Linked DNA regions of Caenorhabditis elegans. The protein of the gene in region 2 interacts with the protein of the main gene of each other region in a pairwise test. Each region holds a gene or a part of one and is shown on either strand. Other genes may lie near its edges.

Region 1 (3,757 bases), on a different chromosome or scaffold from region 2:
TTTAATTTCCCGCCAAATATTTTTCTCAGAAAATTTGAATTTCCCGCCAAAATATTTTTCTCAGAAAATTTAAATTTCCCGCCAAAATATTTTTCTCAGAAAATTTAAATTTACCGCCAAAATTTTGGGTCTTACCACGATGGGTCTCACCACGATAGGTCTCACCAGGATGGGTCTCACCAGGATGGGTCTCACCACGATGGGTCTCACCACGATAGGTCTCACCACGATAGGTCTCACCAGGATGGGTCTCACCACCACGGGTCTCACCACGATGGGTCTCGTCACGATGAATAAATAAATAAATATTAATTAATTAAATAAATATTATTTAAAGAAGTAAATAATAATGAATTAAATAAATATTAATGAAATGAAGAAATAAATATTAATTAAATAAATAAATAATAATCAAATAAATAAATAATAATTAAATAAATAAATAATAATTAAATAAATAAATATTAATTAAATAAATAAATAATAATTAAATAAATAAATAAATATTAAACAAAAAAAAAATTAATTAATTAAATAAATAAATATTAATTAAATAAATAAATAAATATTATTCAAATAAATAAATATTAATTAAATAAATAAACATAAAAAGCCACACAGAGACGTGTTTCTTTCGTTTCTCTGTTCGTTTTGCCTGTTTAGAAATATGAGCCAACTGTAAAAACCTCAGAATTGACAGTTTAATTTTTCAAAAAAGCCTCTATTTCTTTTACATGTCTAGTGGTAATTCATGTTCCCAAACCGGACAATAGAGTGCGGCACATAAATTAAAGAAATACATATTTTTCTGATTTCCAGTTTCTAATATGAAAACGGTATCTGAGACAATACGAAGACGCCAGAGGGCAAAAAATGAAATTTCGAACTCATTGGGAAAATCTTCGTATTTACTAGACTTTTTTGGAATTGCCTTAGATTAGGTGATTTTTCAACAGGGCACTTGTAAAATTGGGCAACACAATTTTTGACAACCAAGGAGTACAATAATTATTTTTGCTGAATAATACTTAGTTCTTCCGTTCTCCAATTACTCGGTCACACTTAGCACTTTCCAGTTTATTCTGTTATAGAATTTGTTTCAATGAGTAACGTTTTTCTATTCAATTTGAGAAAACTGCTGAAGTATAAGCTTTTTAGAAAGATATTCAAAAAGGATTAACTGTTCTTTTTCAGATACGAAAAGATTAAAACGGTGTAAGATAATACTTAGAGTCCATTTCTACCTCATAATCTTTTTTTTTCTCAAAAACATTTGAAATACACGTTACCTAGCAACTCTGAGACGCAATAAATTTATTGCTTGACTATTCGAAATGCTTTGACCATTAAATTTTTTGACAATTGTGGCAGTTTCCGAATCTCGGATATTGAAATTTCAGTATTTTTCTGTTTGCTGAAAACTTGCGATTGCCGTTAGTTTGTATTATGCTACTACCGCATTTTTCAAAAAACAAACGTTGGTTATTAGTTCAGTTTGAGCAAAAAGATTCCTTGAATGTTTGCTATGATGAGTGTTTTTTTGTTGACCGCCAGAAACTGTATCTTATTTAAAATTTAGAGTTATTTGTGGGAATCTAGTGTTCAAAATGTAAATTTATGAGAAATTTATTCATAAGAGCCAATATTGTCACTGTACTTAACATTTTTGATGTTCTTATCTCAAAAACTTGGGCCTCATATTAATAATTTTGTTGCAGAAACAATGTCTGAAAAGGAAACCCAACATTCTACAAAACATGAACATGACGGGGACTTTGAACAGGGTACCGTTTGAAATTTCTCTAATTTGTATTAACTTCAATGTATTTATTTTAGAGTCTCTATCATCACCCGTCGACTATCACCCTCAACAAAATCTGGAGCAGGAGGACCTGGAGGAAATTGAAGCAGGTTCGATTTTTTCAGTCAAATCCTTGCTGTTCAAAAAATTGTGTTTCGCTCTTAAAAAATCAAACGAGGATCACTTGTATATTGAGTTTTTATAAATTGTTCGGATAAGGGTTAAAATTTATTTTTTCAAAACATTTTTTGACGTCGTTCCATTAAAAAACTCTTTTATTTGTTTTTAATTTGGGAGAGAAAAATGAAAGACGCCGGTGTGCCGCTAAGCTTCACAGTGCTTAGAACCATGAGACTTTATGCTGCGGGTGATTACAATTTCTTGCGAGATTACATAAATTTGCTTTTAAGCTCCAAGTGATGTCGCTGCAAAAGCCGAGTTGATGAAAAAACCAGTGTGGAGTTAGTTTTTACTTAAAATCGAAATTTAAACATTATTTTAACAGAAATTTGCTCTAAACTTTCCACTAGTTGTTGATCAAAAATTAATTGAAAAATTCGGCTAGATACGGTAATATCTCAAAAAATAATTATTGAAGAAATCACGCAAAAACATGCTCTATCCCGGTTACCCAAATTACAATTTGTGCATAATTTATAGGTACCACTTCGCCCACCTACAATCCCGGTTACGAAAACAGGATTGCCAATAGAAGTGAGTTTTCTAATTTATATGCTTGTTTTGAAGAATTATTGGTCAACTAATTCTGATTGTTTTTAATCTTGTAGTTTGAAACCACCGGAAACTTCTTGACATTTAGGAAACTTTAGGCGAAGTCTTAGTGAATTGTCAATTTTTGAAACAAATTTGAACCTTGCATATGTTTCAGCAAGAATAACTAAAACGGAAAAACAATTGAAAAATTACACAGAAACTAGTTTCATAGAAAATGTTTTCTTATTTCGGCTACAATAAGTTTTAAAAACATTTTGCAGGTCGCTCGCCAATCATCTATGAAAGTGAGTTGCCCATCTGTAATGATTATTTCAATGCTTATGTAGTAGCAGTAACCCAAAATTAAATGACTCATTAAATTCTATATTAAATGACAATTCGAAAAAAACGGAAGGTTAAGTTACATTTTATGCCAAAAATACCTAAACAAAAAGTTGTTCTAAAAATCACAGTAAATTTTCGAAAAATCGTTGAAAAGTTTAGCGGTACGGCTACTACATGAGTACCATGCGTTCGATTTTTGCACGAAAATGTATTCCAAGTCGTTTGAGTTTGTCAAACCAGCTTTTCAGGTACTTCCCCAAAATTTGAACCACCAGCCGATCACGAATGTAAGTTGATTCAACTGCTATGACCTCAAAATTTTCAAGTTGCTAGAAAGCACCATTCAACACAAAATCGATTTTTGCAGTTTTGAAATTACACAGAATGTGTTAGCTCTTTGATTTTGAACATATATATATAAATTTATCTAAAAGTCAATGTGTCCGCAGTAAATGCAAGTTTGAAAGTTATTTAATTTTGCATTAGAATTAACTGATGGGTACGTTTGAAATTTCTGTATCCCAAAGCGTCAACACTGAAAAATTTATTTCAAAAATTTTAATTAATTAACGTTTAAACTCTTAAAGTCAGAAACAGTATGGAAAATACAATATTGCCAACAGCCTTTTGATAAACTAGAAAAATCAAACAATTGAAAATTTAATTATTACTTTATGAGCATAATTTTTGCATCACATCGTAGAGTACACAACTAAATATCGTAAATTTAATGAACACATCTCATCACGTTTCTGATGAACCAGTTAAACTTTTCAAGACTTCAACATCTAAAAATCATATTTTAGATGAACCATTTATAATTCGATTGCATCTTATTGATCCATCAATCCATCACATCCATCGTGGTAAATTTAGACTTTTTGAAAACGATTTCAA
Region 2 (3,757 bases):
TTGAACTACAACTTTTTTCGCGTTGGAGATAGAAACTAGCGGTGAACTGACAAAATGAACATCACAAATAGGTGAACATTTCTTTAGTTGACAATTTTTTGATATCTCGTTCCACTAAAAAGATATAGCTATGATTTGATGAATGAAGTCCCAGTTACAGTACCCTCTCTTAAAACCATCAAATCTCTGTTCTCGCTGAAGATACAAAAATATGTTCAACTGAGAAAATGTTAAGCAGATAAAAAACAACATTTACCAGCAAAAACTACATTTCTATCTACAAAAATAATAGATTTTGACTTTTGAAAATTGATCATCTTAAACTGGCCATGTCAAAAAATCCTGAACATTAAAATTGAGTTTTTTATCGGAAACATACTCTATATAAGATATCTAACAAATTTGTAGTTGACTACTTTCTTCTAATGTCTTTATTTTTTGAGTTATGAACTGATCTCTGATTTTCTCATAAATACGGCTTTCGGGGCCTGTAAAAAATTTGTCTTACTAGTTAGAAAAATATTGTCAACAGAAAAAATGTTCACAATGTCACACTGAACATTTTGTTAGTTGACAACTTTTTTGTAACTTTCATAGGAGCGGAGATAGGAGCATCCAAAGTGTGAGGGCGCAGTAGAGTGGGTACTACTGTATCAAAGCACCCAACCTTCTACATCAAATAACATCTTTCAACATTGACGGATTTTTATGTGTGATATGTCAAAATGTGCGTATTAAAAATTAGAACAATCGTATTGTTTCCGATTTTTGAGTCCAAGCCAACTATTTCCTGAAAATTTGGTCATTTTAGTACTGTAGTCAACCTTCTAGATCAAATAACATCTTTCAACATTGACGGATTTTTATGTGTGATATGTTAAAATGTGCGTATTAAAAATTAGAACAATCGTATTGTTTCCGATTTTTGAAATCTTTCATTTTACGGTCACTATCTTCCGGAAAGTGCTGAAATTTTGAGCTGTAAATGTTTGATGTCAAAAAAAGTTTCTCTCATAACTTATTTATTGGGGTTTTTTTGTATTAACTCATTAATTGGGAATATATTGAATACATTTTACAAAAAAAATTTGGGAAAAAATCTTAAACTTGCTCGTTTTAGAGGGGAATGTGTAATATTATGTTCACTCTCTTCACTTATTTCAATGACAAAACTATTCTGTGAAATTTATGCCAGACTGTAGAGGACAGTACTCTTTATCCGTTCCAATTGTTTCTTTTCAGAAATATGCAATTTCCTTTCTTCCCGACTCGTTCTAAGTGAGGTGGTTGAGCGCGCACTCTCGCCATGTTGTGGAGGTGAGAGACGCAGAGACCGCCTTTTTCTCTGCGCTCTCTCTGCGCATTTCTCGTGGTGGAGGCCGTGTCACATCGTAAATCGACAGGGACGAGGAGAATTCTAGGCCACGTCTCCTCCGAGAGGAGTACGCCGAGTTCTCCATAGGACCCGCTCGATAAATTGAGCAATGCTCCTTTTTTCTTGGAATTTTTGTTTTTAATTAGTACTGTACTTGATTTTTCATTTATTTTCATAACTTTTTCGCGAAAAATCAATCAATTTTAGTGTTTGTTTTCAGTTAAAAAAAGAAATTGTTGATTTTATGCAACCTTCTGCACTTTTTCCTCAATTTTTACAATTAATTTGGGAAATTCTGGATTCTTACAGCTGCAGCCAAACTAGCATAATGTTGTGATTGTTCCGAATTTTTGAATATGTTCTCAACCACAATGGGATTTCCGTCGACACCACTTGAAGCCAAACAGGCGTTGGGAATCTCCTCTGGGATTAGTTCAGGTGGGCACAGTTTCTCGGCTACAGTAACCGTGGATACTGTAGCCGGGGAAGAAACTAATTTGTTCGAAAAATTGTTTTTCAAGGACTTTAATGTCCTCACTAACCCGGCACCTTAGCTTAAAACATAATTCACCAGAAACAGGTAAAAAATTGATTTTTGCGAAACTTTTAATTGGGAAAATCCACAAAAATTATTGATTCTTCAATTAAATTGGCGATATTTCCAGAAAACCTTACATATTTAAACGAAAATGAAGCTATTTCCAGCGAAATTGGACGGTTTCTGATTTAAAAATCCACAAAAACTGAAAAAAAAACAGATTTCTTCATTAAAATATTTAAATTTAAATTTCAGTGTCATCCGGTCTCCGTTCGGGAAGTCCGATGCTCTCCGCCAGCTACGAGCCCCAACTCTCGTTTGCCCGATGTGTTGAGCAGTGGAAAGGAAAAGAAATTGCAAGATGGATTGAAGGTTTTTATCGCCGCGGAAAAAAATATTCACTGAAAAATTAATAATTTCCAGGACTTGGCGATCAAATGAATCCATATTTGGGCATGATTCGTGACAATATAAAAAGCGGAAAACAATTGGAGGCTCTCGACGACGATTCGCTCAAAAAAATTGGCATTTCGGCTCTCGGAGCTAGGAAAACGATTTTTCAGGCTGTTTCGTTGCTTCTCTACTTTGTAAGATGGAGTTTTCAACAGGAAAATGGATTTTTTTCGAAATAGAATTTTCAGCAGTTTTTGCTGAATTTTCAACCAATTCTAAAAATCAGCTGTAAAGCTCCACAAAGTTCAGAAGAGATTCTAACTTTTCCGCAAATTTTTGAAGTTTTTAAGATTTTTTTTTGAAAAAAAGTGTCTTTTCGGAGAAAACCACTATTTAGTGAGAAAAAACTTCCATCGGAACTAAACATTTTGTGCAGAAAAAGCTGCTAAAAATCATGAAAAATGGTAAAAAATTATAAGTTTTCTAGGATTTTCAGTCGATTTTTTAAAAATTTAATGATTTTTAAGAGATTTTGAATTTTACTAACTTCTCCGCAATTTTTTCAAAGATGTTTTAATGATTTTCTGTCTACTCTGGAAAAAAAAACCAAAGTAGGCATTCCTGCCTGCCTACCGCCTAATTTTGGATTTTTCGCAGAAAAATTCAAAACTTGCTTTGTACTAATCTCCTGAACATCAAGAAAAAACTCTGAAAGTCTAATTTTTCAAGATTTTTTATCAGAAATTTTGTTGATTTTTAAAAATTATTTTCATTTTCAGTGTCACGAATCGGAACACGAGAATCTCCAACGCCTGGCTCAACAAGTAAAAACCTCGTGTCTCTACGTAGAACGCACGATGACGTCAGCGATGCGAATGCGGGAGAAAGCGATCCGTCGATCGGAAATTGTGAATATTCTGAATAGTGTGTCAAATGCAGTGTTACAGCTCGCCGAGCACACGAAACGATTCGTTTTTTGGCTTGATCGGACTCCGTTTGACGAGGAACCCGAATTTATTAACGTTAGAAATAGTGTTTCTTCTTTTATGTGGAACCTATTGAGAAATGTTAATGTACAACCGAAAGCTTTGTTTGAGACTGGAAGTCAAATTGTTAGGGTGAGGATTTTTAGGTTATCGATGGGATATTTTGACTGAAAATTTGAATTTTAAAAAAATTTGAAAAGTTTTTTTTCAAATCAGACAGTTTCTGAAGATTTCAATGAATATTTCTCAAATAATTAAAAATATTTATTAAAAAACTTGAAATCGAAAAATAATCAGCTTCAAAAGTTTCAGAAAATGTCGGATTTAAAATTTTTCAATTTAAAAAAAAATCAGATTTTTGCCAGAAAAATGTAATTTAAAAAAATTAATTCTTCAGACAATATCTATGATTCTTAAATTTTTTAAATTGATTTTTCTGCAAAAAAATTGGATTTTTTTTTCAAA

What was found.
Region 1: the proteins of cnk-1 (region 2) and H28G03.3 interact in a two-hybrid assay, tested with the Caenorhabditis elegans proteins (one large-scale study listed by BioGRID).

What each region holds. Positions count from the first base shown.
Region 1 is NC_003284.9:5,224,332-5,228,088, reverse strand, and holds the start of H28G03.3 (BZIP domain-containing protein), read left to right. Parts: upstream 1-1,723; coding exon 1,724-1,784; intron 1,785-1,836; coding exon 1,837-1,911; intron 1,912-2,461; coding exon 2,462-2,515; intron 2,516-2,796; coding exon 2,797-2,820; intron 2,821-3,108; coding exon 3,109-3,147; intron 3,148-3,757.
Region 2 is NC_003281.10:10,269,573-10,273,329, forward strand, and holds the start of cnk-1 (Connector enhancer of kinase suppressor of ras), read left to right. Parts: upstream 1-1,684; 5' UTR 1,685-1,731; coding exon 1,732-1,813; intron 1,814-1,860; exon of another isoform or gene 1,861-1,903; coding exon of another isoform or gene 1,904-1,955; intron 1,956-2,168; coding exon 2,169-2,285; intron 2,286-2,336; coding exon 2,337-2,500; intron 2,501-3,085; coding exon 3,086-3,424; intron 3,425-3,757.